Linked DNA regions of Struthio camelus. The protein of the gene in region 1 interacts with the protein of each later gene in a pairwise test. Links are inferred from orthologs where the notes say so. Each region holds a gene or a part of one and is shown in the gene's direction. Other genes may lie near its edges.

The links.
Region 2: the proteins of CCDC158 (region 1) and GPSM1 interact in a two-hybrid assay, tested with the Homo sapiens proteins (2 studies listed by BioGRID and IntAct). The link is inferred for Struthio camelus from reciprocal best matches to the Homo sapiens genes CCDC158 and GPSM1.

What each region holds. Positions count from the first base shown.
Region 1 is NC_090945.1:6,561,738-6,569,207, forward strand, and holds the start of CCDC158 (coiled-coil domain-containing protein 158), read left to right. Parts: upstream 1-4,416; 5' UTR 4,417-4,571; exon of another isoform or gene 4,572-4,657; intron 4,658-5,521; 5' UTR 5,522-5,532; coding exon 5,533-5,558; intron 5,559-7,470.
Region 2 is NC_090961.1:3,520,669-3,527,883, forward strand, and holds the start of GPSM1 (G-protein-signaling modulator 1), read left to right. Parts: upstream 1-4,109; 5' UTR 4,110-4,247; intron 4,248-4,484; exon of another isoform or gene 4,485-4,595; intron 4,596-5,387; 5' UTR 5,388-5,555; coding exon 5,556-5,566; intron 5,567-7,215. UniProt on the Homo sapiens protein: Guanine nucleotide dissociation inhibitor (GDI) which functions as a receptor-independent activator of heterotrimeric G-protein signaling.

The sequences.
Region 1 (7,470 bases):
ATGCTGATCTCTAAAGAGAAGTTTAATAAAAATAAAGCACCCTTCCTCTGTACTGATGGGACTTCTAAGGAGGAATAACATGCCCAAGTGGCTCAGATTTGTACATCAGAAGTTTAACTGATTACCCAATGTGCTGACTTTGGTAGAAAAATCATCACTGCAAGCAAGTCCACAAAGAGTGCAGGAGCCAGCACTGAACTGCCTCATTCTTGTTTTACTCCAGCACAACTCTGTTGACCTCCCAGGAATGAGTCTGTAAAAGTGAGAAAGGGCTCACAGTCACTTTCCAAGCATAAAGCATCTTTGGATGGTTCAGTATTTTTATTTCTAGCCTTTTCATGCAAAGGGGTGAACCAATACCATTCCAGGCTTTGCACATCTTCAGAGAGCACATGGTATATGGTCAGGCAAGACAGCAGAAACAGGATGTCTGTGCAAGTTTTGTGCTGAATAGAGGGGGAAGGCTGGGGCTTACCCCTCCCAGGGGCCTTTCTGGAGCCTTCCATGGAGATGGGTGCTGAGGGCATCAGTGCACCACACCTCCAGGCCAGGCACCCAAGCCTCTAGCATTACGGAGCTGCCATCCGTATTTCTAGCTGCACTCACAAATTGCTTATGAGTGAGTTAAAGGCTCAGACAGCTCTGCTCTACACATTTTGTATTAAATGTATATTTATTTAAATAGGCAAGGTGGAAGAAGTGGGGATCTTTGTACCTTTCACAGAAACAAGCAGAGAGACTATTAATCTTCAAGCACCAGTGTGCGTCTCAGTTTCCTCCTCATCCCCTAAGTCCCAAGGCTATTCACCTGCATCTGCAGAAGGATAGAGGGGAAAAACAAACAAACAAAAAGTGTTTGTCAAAAGCCACAACCCTGGTGTGAATCAGCCCAGGAGCTCTTAAGTGAAACGCTCCTTCTTGGGTTAATAATTCCTCAGAAGGTTTATTATATCAGTAAATTTACAAATGGGTAAATAGAAGAGTGGTTTTCTACACTTACCTCCAAGTAGTAAGTTGAGCTGACTCTAAAATACCCATTCACTCAAACTCTGTAAAATGTCATTCTGGCATCTAAAAGAAAAAATTAGAGGAAAGAGCCAAAATTAAGCCTCTATACGAATTCAAAGAGATGGTATCACACACCCACATTCAAAATATGTTTTCACAGAAGACGCTTCTATGGCTATACAGGGAAGTGTGTTCAAATGCCAGGCTGCACTTCAGTCCTTCTCTCTTCCAGACCACAGAATAAGTCTACTCGTCTGGACAAGTCCAGGATAAAATAAGAAAAATCAGACAGGGAAAGGGGAAAATGTAAAGTGTACACTTTTTTACACCCAAAAGTGTAAAGAAAGAACAAGGCTCAGAAACAGAAGGAAGCTGCAAAACCATGAATCTATCTTTTCACATTGGAAAAAGTGACCTCTGAAGGTCTGAAAAGAAAGAGCTCTCTTTAGTGAGCAAAGAACCCTCCTCTCCAGACAACGCTGCCTTTGGCACTGAACACCTCTCAGTCCCTCAGTTGCTCAGAGCAAACTGAAAAGCAACAAGACAAGGTGAAGAATAAAACTGTCCCTCTAAAGATACTAGAAGAGCAGTCACAACTGAAGTAGCTGAATTCCAGCTAAGTCCAGAACTGCAGAATTTTTCTTTGCACCTGCATTTTCACCTCTCCAACATAATGCAAAGAGTATAACCCTGTGAAAACAACTGCTTCAGTCAGGAACTAGTAATCAAAAAAGGTTCATAATACAATCCAAAAACACACATTGCATTAAAATTGTAATAACAGCAAGTACATTTCAGTAATAAGACTTCCTCATTTTCCATATATTGCCTTAAGCCCTTCCACACAAAGGAAGTCTGAACTCAAGACTTTATCAAGACTGACAGAAGCAGGCACTTCAGAAAGGAAGTCTTCATTCTAACACTAAATTAATAAGAGTCTGAGTATTTGGATTTATCCAGTATTATCAGGCAATAGCCAAAGGGGTTTTCCTTGCTTAGACTCAGTTACATGCTTTTTAAAAAGAGGGAAGCACAAAAGGCTTGGGGAAGCCATCCCCTCATGGAACCGTACAGTAGTATAGTAGTTAACTATACCTTAGCAGGCTATGTATACGATTTGACAGCTTCTAGATATATCCATTTGTTGACAGCAGAGGTTTCTGTGTCAAGCTACTTCTTGCAGCTGTTCCTTGCAATCTGGAATACAGATAAAGTCACCTGAGGCACCATGACAGGCACTGTTACCGCAGTTACAGTTACACCTTACTTACCTCAGCCACACTCTTCAGGGCAGGCACCACAGCAAAACAAGTTACCCCAACCCTGGCTGGACTGCAGGCTTCCACTGTACATGCACTTCTCACCTACCAAAAACATGAGGTAAAAATGGTAGCTTAAACCCCACTGAAGGAGCCAGGTGCTCTTACTATATTGCCATTCTATTATAATTCTTATATCCTAGAGTATAATTCTATTATATTAGTTTTCTGGTGTTAAACAGATTAAATCGTTGTAAAACAATTATTTAACCACTGAAAGTAGTTATCAATGCCTTTATCCAAAACTGAAATGGCTGGTGGGTATGGCTCAGATATTTTAGAATCAGTGCCTCAGCTGATATAAGTAAGTCCATTGCCTTCCCATAAAGCTGCATCCCCCTGCACACAGTGGAAGAAATGGATTTATCTTAAAGACAGGAATTTATATTTGCATCAGGCTGGCAAGCACGTGGAAATTCTTACATTTTCTTCTCAGAGTTATTCCCAAAATAGGAGAAAAGCTATCGGAGAATAGTCTTCTGAAATGGTTATTCTTTCTCCAGGATATGACTGGTGTCGGGGTGGGGGGGAGGAAGCAGCAGGGAAGGCCAAGCCCCTGGCTAGGCAAAAAAAAAGCACCTGTTGCCAGGAGAGGAAATGCTCCGTAGGAAGCACCCTGCGCTATCAAATTCCCTGCTGAAGCTGGCACATTTTGAATGAAACTTCGCAGAGAAATCAAACGCTGGATGTGGTTTTTATTGGTTCCCACTCACGCGCATGACCCGCTTCAGAGGAGGGGTCTGTTCCCAAGGCTACGGAGTCAGGCACAGGGGTGAGGGGCAGGTGGCTCCCAACGGCTCCCATAGTTCAGGAGTTGGGTTTTGGGAGCTGGATGTGCACCCCACAGCCAGAAAAGGGACAGGGGGGAGAGAAAAAGTGAGTGAAGGTGAGCTGATCACAGCCCCTCCTTTCCCAGCCCCAACACAGGGAGAAAAACCTCAGGACACACCATCCCTAGGAGCGTGATCCTCACCTCAGGAGGAGACGCACGTCAGTGCTCAACAAGCCATTCGAGAGCTGCCTGAGTGTCAGAAAAACAAACCTCTCCAGTGTCTGCCAGAGGTAGGTGCAGTCCACATCCCAGGTGAGTTTTTATGCTTTGTTACTACCTGAGACTGAGCCTTAAAGTCTGCCTTGGCATAGCGGCAGGACACCGGGTAGCATAATCCCATCTGCCTTCTCTGTCTCTGATTTACCTATAAACTTTCTTTCACCCCTTTTCGTTTTTGACAGAATAAGGAAGTACCTTTTCTTTTCCGCCTCTTTTTCCAGGTGGTGCAGCAGGAAACACTTCTTTCCTCAAGTTATTTCTCCATCCCGCATGCCAGTTTTGCAGCTGGCGCAGCAGGGAGAGCAAAAACCAGGGCTCTCTTTCCAACTGGCTGATTCTCTCCCTTGTCTCCTCAATCCCGAAGCAATCCCTGTAAAAACCACTTTTCCTCCTTTGCCTTTTGGGCTCAGTCTCTTAGTTGTAACAGGAAGGCTTTCTTCTCTCTGAAGAGCTACATTACCTCCTTTGGAGGAAAGGTGATGTGTTTTGCCACTTAGCTGCGGTATTTAAATATACGTACATATGCGTGTATGTTTTTCCCGGCTTCCTGCTGACTGAAGTTTTCGGAGCTCTGTGGCATTTTTCTTTCGCGTCCAGGTCACACACATATTCCTTGAGCGCCGTAGGGCGGTCTCTCCGGTATACGCTGCTGGCGGTGATTTCAAATAATCTGGTAGAGGTGCAGACTGCTGAGATCTGCACGCGCGCTCCTGAAATCAAGACCCAAGACGGCATAGGCACCACAGGGGCCGCGTTATACCCCCCTCCCCCCGTTCCCAGCCCCACCACCCACCTCCCGCCCGTTTTTCCTGTCACGCCACGCAGCCCCCCACACGCCGGCAACGGCCTGTGGGGGGGGGGGGGGCTGCCGGCGGGAGTCTCCCCCCACCCCCAAGGGAGGCAGCCGGTGCTCGGTGCTACGGGGGTTTTCGTTTTTACCTCCAGGCTCGAGAAAGGAGCTCGTTAAATCATTGGCGTTTACAACTTAGCGGCCGTGAGGGCGGCTCGAGTCCCCTCGGCGGCGGTCCGGGGTTGGGGGGGGGGGAGGAGAAGAAGGGGGGACACCAACGAGCGTCCATTTGAGGACGGCTCCCGCCCAGCCCCAGGGGGAGCCGGGCTGCCCGGCCTCTCCCCCCTCGCGGGGAGGGCAGCGCCGGCCGGCGGAGCTGCTCTGCTCTCGCTGCTGCTCTGAGGTGAAACGGGCGGCGATCGCCTCCCCCTGTGTGGGGAGGGGTGGTGGTGGTGGTGAGGCGGTTCCCTCGCGGGGAGCCCGCAGCCGGCGAGGCGAGAACCAGGGCGCCGCCGTCCCAAAAACCCGAGGAGGGGAGGCGGGAGGGTTTATAAAGGCGGGGGGGGCGCTTTCTCGCAGGTGGGTTGGGTCGTGCTCGCGGGGGCCACCTGAGGTAGTCGTCGCACACCTGGGAGGGGAGGGAGGGGAGAGCAGGGCTGGCGGCTTCAGGGGCGGCCATTTTGTGGGGGGCCCGGGCTGGCCTCGCGCCCCCCGCGCCGCCATTTTCCCACGCGGGAGCAAGGGGGGGCAGCGGGGTGACACGGTCTGAGCGGGCGTCGCGAAATCAGGCCTTTGGTTCGTGGCGTGGTTGAAGTTTCTGGGCCTTGCTATTGTCCTCAGGGGCTTTTATAGCAATCCGAAACTCAGTGCGTAGGAATCTAGGGGAACCCGTCTGAGGCTCACCTCAGACCTCGCTTTCTCTTTCCTCCTTGGGCATCCCTCCCAAAGCGCCTGTGTGAGCAGAAAGTCCACTTGGATTTAGTTGAGCAGACTGGATAGGTAAGATTTCTAAATAAGATCAAGGTAAACTTCTGTAGAAATCCAGTCTTCAACGTTTCTTTTAGAAGAAATTGCATATCGGAAAGCTTATCTCAGGAAAGTGTCAGTATACATGATTTTCCATTTAATTGTTGTTGAAAAACAGGAGATGCTAACAAGCATTTATAAGAACGTGCAGCTGTGTTTGTTCATCAAAATCCAGAATAAAGCATAAAACTATAAAGGAGAGTAACTATGACAATATCCTGGAGTTCCTCCTGCAGTATTCAAATTAGGGGGCCAAAATACATTTTGTATGACAGGAAGTTGAATGTTTAAATGCTACAAAATAACGATAGTTAATTTTCTTCACAGATGCTGTTACAATGAGCAAGAATATCCAGGAGTTAAGGTAGGATACTTTTGAGAATACTGTATCTGCCGTCATTACAGTAAACATCACGCTCACTGAAAACAGGAGCAAACAGACCGCGAAGGTGTAGTCTGTTAGTGGTAATTTAACAGGAAAGATGTAAACCCCACAAAATTTATGGGCATTGGTGCCCAAGACACTCCACGGTGAGGGATGAATTACACTGATAATTGTAATTTGTGTGCCAGTGTTATAGTTAGCTCTGTTTCTAGTCACAGTGGAATGAGTTCTCACGGATGGCAACAGGATTTTTTGCACAAAGAACAGGATATAGTGTGGCCCTGTGCTAATGAATTTGCAGGGCCCCTTTCTATCTACTATTAGATTCAGTAGCGGTCAACATTGGAAAAGTGATACATGGTTGTGAGATTTAGTGATTTTTCTTTTTCTTTTTTTTAATTAAAGTGATGCTTGGATTTAATAGTGTCTATATATAGCTGTGTACCTAATATTTGAAAGTTTATTCCAAAAAGGATCTTCAGTGAGTTTCAGAATTAATGGCCAAATGAGAAGCATGGGGATGTTAAGGATTTTCTTTTCTAAGCCTTAATTTACTGATTCCCTTTGATGGATCAAATCAAAGTTTCATCTAGCCACTGTCTTGATTCCAGCAGCGTCCAGTGGCAGATGCTTAGAAAAAGAGTGAGGTAAAAATGACACTTTCCTCAACATACCTCAGTATCTCAGTACCCAGGAACTTAACATTTAAATACTTCCTGAATCAGAATGTCCGTCCCAACTAGCAAGCCCTGGGGATTTCTCTAATCATTCTTTGCAACCATTTATGCCTTTGGGTTATATTCCGCAAAAACTGGTCTGTGTTGGTAGAACCCTCACCCTTCCCTGTAGCTGATGCCCCTTCTTCCCAATTTTCATGGTAACAGACTCCTCAAGATGCTTTTCTCTATGCTCTGCAGCTCTTTGTATCTGAGTCCTCAAGCTTTTTGCTTTTCCTTTCTGTAGTGGTATGGAATGAAAATCCAGATTTCTCAGGATGGGTTGATAAAAATGCAGAACAGCAGCATAAAAAGCGCGGTGCGTGCACACACAGTGACTGGTTGCTTGTGAAAAAACTGCCGTATGGACGAAAATCAACTGTGCGTGTTGTAATTGGGTCATTTGCGAATGTCACATTCCTGCTAAGCACACACAGTGGTAATTACACTAAGTGACATGAAGCTGCTCTCCTTGCTGATCTTGTATTCCTCTGGCTTCTGTAAAGTTCCCTTTAAAAAGTAGGGTTTTTTCCATAATTTTGTATTCCTCTTTGTCTTATTTTTTCTTCACGTTATTTTTTCTCCACGTTTCCTCGTCGTTTCCTTCTCTTTCCAGCTTGTAGGTGACCTGCCAAAGTTTGTCTAAGGCTGTTACTCTCACTTAAGTGGAATTTCTTTCTTTTTAGTTCAGAAGAATTCCTTTTGTCTGTTTTTTGATTATCTGCCCCTTACTTGACGCCCCCGGAACAAAGCCTACTTTCTAGGCTTGTAAATGTTTCCATATTTCATTGCTTAGACTTTAATTTCTTATTTTCCTGCATCCTCACTTGAAGAAGTCTTTCCCAGTTTCAGCAGTAATAGGCCATTGTTCCTGGGAGAATGGCCTGAAGACTGTTATGACCACTGATAAACTAATAGTATTTACACCAGTCGTCTTTTTTGCAGTTCTCATTCAAAGTACTCAGAATGGAGTTCAATCTTTGACCTTGTGTAATCCAAAATTAAATGTCTTGAGAAACGGTATGCATTATATCAAGACATCACCCAGTCTGAAAGTAGCTCAGCAGCTAACACCGCACCATCGTTTGTTGTTCCTGGTTACTTTTACAGTCCCATGAGGTATCCCTCCAACTTCTAGAGCTAGTACTATCTTGTGTGTAAAGTCAACATAGTGT
Region 2 (7,215 bases), on another chromosome or scaffold:
TTCAAAATATTTGCTTCATTGTGTTGGAAGTCATACAATCCAGGTTAAACTAAACACTTAAAGCCTTTAAATAACCAAAAAATCCTTAGTTTAAAATAAAAAATATCCAAGTCTTTGACTATGACCATGCAGATGATAATGGAAGCTCATTATTCTCATAGCAGCTAGTGGAATTGATTCTGCGGATGCCAAAACTGTTGCTCATTTTTCAGCCATGCTATAGATCTGCTTACTTGATATCCATATCTGAAATAACCATGAGCAAGGACTAGTCGTTGCTGCCCTTTGAGAACAGCCTTGGCCTTGCTTATACCTACTGTTTCCTCATCCATAATTGCTGATTGTCTTTACATTTCTGTGGCGTTTGCAGATGTTGTCTGCTATCATTAAATTTCTCGGTGTTGTGAGAGAGTCCTGGGTTGAGACAGGGCTATGGCACAGGGGGAAATGTCCTGCTCTAGGCAATCACTACACATCTAAACAGTCAAGAAAGTCAGCTTCCTCCCATATCCCGTTCCTGCCTGGTTAACACCTTACCTTTCGTAGCCTCGTCCATGGATGGAACAAACCCTTCACTGAGGAACTGGGCAAAAGCACCTAAAGAAGCATTTAAAGAGGATCCCTGGGAGGGCTGGAGCCTTTCTAGAGAGATTAATCCCAGAAACCTCTTCCAAAGGACGAGCTGAGAAAGAACTCAGCACAGAATATCCCAGTCTCTGCTCCTTCCCTGAGCTGAGCTACCCACAGGCTCCGGTCCCTGGCTCCAGCCACGGTAAAGGTTCACCTGAGATGAGTCCCAGGTCAGCCCCTGCCCTGCCCAGGAGTGCGCCAAGGAGGAGGAGGCTGTGCCAGGGAGCCCAACCAGTGGAGCCGGCCATCAAGCATCACCACACCTTTGTTTGGGCCCCTCTGTACGGGGCAACCGTAGCGGTAGCGATAGCAATAGCGATAGTGCAGGGAGAGGCTGCTAGAAAGTGTGAAGAAAACAAACAGCAACAAGAGGAGCCTGAAGGCTGATCTCAGCTTGCAAACACGTGGCAAGGTGCCAGAAGCTTTCTTGACAAGCCCTTGCATCCCTTCCAGGGCAGCTGGCATCCTGGCAATGACCCATCTCAGGGCCAGGTGGCCACAGAGGAGAGGGAGGACAGAAGCTGCACAGTTTGGGATGGAGAGAGAACGGGGTGCTAGAGCAGGGGGAGAAACCAGACCGGCGCAAGATCTCACCCAGGGCACCTCTCCTCACCCCTTTCTCTGTAAGCTCATCCAGCCTTTGATCCTGCTGTCAGCAGCGCTGTCCTGATCAGGCCCCCAGGTTCAGGAGAGTAGGGGCTTTAATTCTGAATATTGGCTTTTAGTAAAGGAGGAAATGATCAAAAAAAAAAATAGGGTTTCTAGTCTTTATGACTGCAGAGAAAAGCTTGAGAATATGAAGTTAGTATATGCTGAAGGCTCAGAAAAGGTAGATAAAGACAACTCCACCTGTGTTGATGTGCCTTTTTTTAAATGTCACAGTGTTTGAGTATTTGAAATTTGGGGTAGCCCTTGTGGTTCTTCAGGTCCTCCTATTCTCCTGTTCTCATCCTGGCATTTCAAATGAATGGGAAGGAACAGTTTATTCAGCAAACAGCAGAGGGCAAGCTCAGCTCACAGACAGGAGACGAGGCGGTGCCTTCAGCGGCGCTCTGGCCTCAGCTGCTGCCAGTTGCCACTTGGTCGAAGACAGCCCCGAGTGGGCAGCAGCAGGAAAGCCCTTGCTGTCACAGTGGTTCACTCTCCTTTTCTATTTCATACTTGGCCTTTTCACAGAGCATCTTTCTGGCAGGCTTCACCGGATAGTGGCATCCTGGCCTGCGGCCTGCCAGCTCATGTCCCACACCCTCCCAAGATTATGGCTGCAGATGGCTAAACAACCCTTAGGGCACATCTCAGCTGGTGAATTTGCTCGGTCATGCGGGCATGCTGTCCAGGCATTGCTTTGAAAGAGTTGGTCTCTGAAGTTCTTTGCCCCCAAAGTTACTCACCCCTAATCCTTGGATCTGCAATTACAACTGAATCTACTACAATCACTGTATAATGCCAAGACTAGGCTGATCGTTTGATGCTGTTTTCTGTTCCTTGACTGGATGATCCTTAGGCATTGGCTTCCTGTGAAATTCTTCCATTTATGAATTTTAAATTTGCTTCCCATAAATATTCTCTCACATATGCCAAAGTTCTGCAGTTCCCAAGACTATGCTTGCTGTTTGCTCTGAGATTCACTGAAGGCACATGAATAGAATAAGGATAAGCAAATAGGAATAGAAACATTTCTTGCTGTCCTCCCACAGTGACCATCAATTACTGCCCTCATGGGGTGAATTTCAGCACAGACCCTGAGCTGAGGCTGCGTGTGCCTTTCTAGGTCCCACATGACTGCAAAGCAGTGCTGACTGATGTACTGTTTCACCAGCATTTTGGTTGATATTGAATTTGACTCTTGTTTCTGTTTTATGTCCTCAGTTATTTGTTCAGGCTATACAATGCTACTGATGTGCTTTAAGCAGCAATATCAGTATTGTAGGTCTTTGTTATTACTGGGAAGTACTTAGATGGTGAGGCAAGATACTGATACCACATCCTTTCATATACATGGATCCCTGCGGTCTCTAGAGAAGTTTGCTTGAAGCAGCAGACTCAGGCTGCTAATCTAATAAATATTACAGCAGTCTGCTCAGATATCTGCACTACTTCAACTTTTCAATTCTAACCGAACAAGGAGTTCCCGAGCTGTGGATCAGAGTTGCAAAGTTCCCATTTCAAGCCGGTCCAAGCCAACGTTTTGGCCTGATTAGAGGTTCCAGTGCTAAGAATGCAGAGTCTGTCCCAAAAGGGAACCACAGCTATTTAGGGTGCCTAAGTGATAAGAGCCTTAATTACAGCCCCCGGGTTCACAGGCAGCCGTTGTGCTAGGCAAGCTTGCGTACTGAAGAGAGAGGACAAAGCAGAAATGTGAAACCTCAGCAGTGGGAGGACAACTTTCAGTGAAGATGTAGCATATGGGAAACTGTAAGAGTAACAGGAAAGTCTAGGATTAGTCCCATGTCTGCTGAGTTCAGTCGATCAAGGCAGTGCCTGGAGCAGGAGTGCACGTGCCGCAGCAGGCAGTGCTCTCCATTGTGCGCAGGTGACACTTCTGAAGCCACTCGAGTCGGACCGGCATCTCTTTTGGCACCTATCTTCCTTAGCAAGCTGTCAGCTCTGACGAGAGCCAGGAGAGTGACAGATTGCCAGCATGTTATGCTGCACATCTTGGAGTGTTAGACCACAAATCTGCTGGGAGATGAGGAAGTGAAACCTATCACTGGGCCAAATCCTGCTTCTGCAGCGCATGCAGCTCCCAAGTCAGGGAGCTAAATTTGAGCTGAGGCAGCTAGGAGCAAATCCATTTAGATCTGTACATTAGAGCTGCATGAGCAAAATGAGTCAGTCATGTATGATTGTGTCCTGCGGACTCCACAGCTCCTGTCACTTGTGACTAGGACAGAATTAGGCCCAGCGTTTTCGTTCACGTGGCGTTTATGTTGCATCAGCCCTCAAACAGCAAATTTTCTCTACAGAGGTACTCAGACTATCCCCTACTGGTTTTAGCAGACTAGACAACCCCAGGCTATTGCATACCCAGTGGACGTCTTACAAAAGCCATTTTAGGGTTTTCAGTGATTTGCCGGGATTCTTGCAGCTCAGAACCGATGAAGAGAGATGCTGCTTACCCCACTGCACGGCATTATCCAAAAGAGAGCAGCGTGTGAGTCTGCTGGATCGTTAGTGGTGTGCTTACATGCACAATGATGAAGTGGGACAAAAAGCGTCCAACTCGGCTGCATTCTGCCATCCTGAGCTTCAAGGTCACTTTCTAGCGTTTCTGCAATTCAAAGATAAGTGGACTTGCTAATTGCTCAATCCTGTAGAAGGTTGTTTGGTGTCTGGAGGTTGGTTTCACACTGTTGAGGCCGCAGGGTCTCCTCCCAGTGTCTTCCGTTCCTACTATAGTGCACTGTCACGGCTTAGGAAATATTTACAGCAATAACCCACAATGCCTAGCAAAATTCAGGAAGTGTATATATATGTGAACCAAAAAAGAAATTCCTCCTAAGTCTGTGTGGTTTGAAACAGCTGCATGCCATGCAGATATAGCTTTGTGCCCTCTAGATATATTCCAGGGGTCTTGTAAACAGCAATTCTACTGTTCCTACAGCTCTGGCAGACAGGTAGGACACTCCTTACTTTTTCTTGTTAGTTGGCCCTGTGCGCCTAGCTTTGTGAAAGTGTTACAATCTCCCTTATTGAGGGGAAACATGTCCAGCTAAAAGGAAAGAAAATAATACTTGTTTGGTTTTTTTTTACAGTGTCTAACTAAGCAATTTATGTTGTGAAGCACTTTTCACAACACTTCCCAGTTAGCAAACAATCAAAGCACAAATCTAGACTTCGATCGCAAGCTGGATGTGACATGAATTTTGCAGCAAGCATATGGTGGGAAGAGGCAGCTCATTAAAATAAAGTGTACTGTTCTGAAGTCTGACAGCCAAGTACTCAGTCCTGCACCACAGACCAGGGTATTTAGGCTCTTGATTCCTATGGATTTTGGGATGTCATGGGACTGTTTGTTACCCATATACTGCTACACTTCTATATTTGGCTCTTTAGTCTCCCTGTGCCTCAGTTCCTCATCAGCAACGGGAGAAAATATCGCTTCTCTTCTCAGTGCTTTTTGACTGACCAGGCTGTTTTGCATAAAGACGCACTAAGATACAAACATAAGGAATGGATTATTTTATCCTATGGTTCAAAAGGTATTAAACTCTGCACAACCTAAGGATGAATCCGAACTTGGCTGCAGAGTTTTTGCTGGTACCACTGATCTTGCTTCTTTTTCATTTAACCCTAACAGCTCATGCAGATACCCACGTTGTTAGGAATAAGCAGATACTTTCCCCATGGTGTATGTCATATACTCAGTTAATGCACTGTACTAGGCGCTGCGCAGAGAACTGCCCAAAGGCAGAGAGCAGGCTGCTGCTCGGCTGCCCCAAGTCTAGGGAGGTATTTGCTGCAGTGAAGAGATGCTCTTCTGCAGTGATCTCAGCCAGAAACACAAGGAAATATTAAGCTTGTGTTTCCCTACTGAGGCCCTGAAATTATAAAAACAACATGTCAAGAAAGAACTAGACCTTCAGAATATCTAGATTTTATGCCGAGTGCCAAACGATGTCTAGAAAAGGGCAGAGCGTTCTCTTTATGTGCTTATATATATATATATATATATATATATATCATCCAGTTATTGGCGAAGAGAGTGTTAAGACAGGAAATAGCTATTTATGGCCTTTTTTTTTCCCTATCAATAGGAGAATATGTGAATGGAATCAGAAGCGAAGGACAGCGGAGCTGCCTGCGCTGCGCAACCGAACGTGGGAGAGCACCGAGTTTCCATGGAAACGGCCTATAGGAAACGGGGCTCTCCGGCTGTACAAAAGGATTTATAGCGCCGGCCTGGGACTAGGCAATTTAAATCAATGATCGACAGGTAAAACGGCACATTTCCTTGCACATTGTCTCCAGGCACTGCAAAACGAAAGAGGCAGGGTAGGCGGGTGGGGAGAATTGCAAGATGACAAGGTTTTCTGAGGTGTCTTAGAACCAGACCCAAAACCCGCGGAGGCTGATGCAAAGATTCTTGTGGATTTTGCTTAGGGCTGGAGCCGGCATGCAACGAGCAGGCGTGTTCCTGCAGGAGCAGGGCAGGGCAACAGTTCCCTGTGCACCAAAATGCACAAGCTATAGGCACAACGACATACCCTACCTGCACGCCACAAACTCGGAGGGGAGAGGAGAAACGTAATCTGTTCCCTGCTTGCTCAGCCCTTCAGATAGTGCAGCTCAAGCACTCTGCCTGGTTTGGTTTTTTTGGTTCTGATGCTCGGGAAGAGTTCGTCTGGCTAAGACTATCCCTAGGCAGACCAGCAGGCTTTGGGCACTCGTTGCAGAGAGACTTGTCAGAGGAGCTTTCTGAAGGGCTGCACATCTGTTACCCTTTAACTGTCACTAGGTTTCCAGCTGTCAGTGTGAATTTTTGAACAGATATGGAAAGATCAGATTTTCCAGAGCAACGAGAATCTGTTTGGGAATATCTCAGATATAACCCTGAAAAAAATCAGAGGTCCCCAAAACAGCTAGTTAAGACTATAACTGAGACAAAATGTGCCATAAGCAACAAACAGTGTTTCTGTAACAAGGGATTAAATGAGTGAGGAATGATTTATTGGCTTCAGATTCTCCCATTTATTGACATTCAGGCATAGTGATATATGGAGTGGCATGAGACAGCAACATAATTATTCGTGCAGTGCTGCCTTCATCACCATACATTACCAAGACCTGAGTGACAAAGCCACATTATCTTCTGCATCAGACACTGTGTGCCTGTCCGATCCTGCTTCCAGCTAAGGGCAATGGTTAAATATCTCTAACGTACTTGGAATCACCATGGGGCTGGTGTGTTTATTAGCTCTGCGGAACTGCGTGCACTTACGAAGGTTGCCTCCTTCATATCCAGGAATGAAACTCAGTCTCCTTACTCACCATGTATCCTGGGCTTAGTGTGGCTGGATTTAAATATGCAGTTTAATATGCATGTGGGCATATTGGTGACGTCAAACACAAGACAGGAAATTCCTTTTGAGTTGGAGAATACAGCGTCCTTGGCTGCAAAGACTTCCAGCCTCTGTACACTCTGATCCCAGGGTAAAGTCATGTTTTACCCTGCGCTCCACAGCGCTCTGTTCGAATGTTACTTTGTTCTGCTTCCAGCTTTCAACAGAGCATCAAACACAGCTATCAAGAGTGGCAAGATTTCAGTTTCTTCTTTCAGAGGGGGTTTTTTGTTCAAAACCCAAATAGTCCAATCAAAATCAAATCTCAAGAACTGGGTCCTCCTGTCCTACCTCTCTCTACTGCCGCCTTTGGGTCTTTGCCATAAAGTCCTGCCTACACAGCAAATGCTACCAGCTAGACCTTCCACTTCCCTTTTACAGAATTTCCTCTCTAAAGTGCTTTCTTTGGACCATCAGTGTCCTTCAAAAAACTTACCTTTCAGTTCTTTATCTCCACTCAGCTACTTGCAGGTCACTTATTACAGACCCACAAGCAATCATTTTCAAATGACGTAGTGAGAAG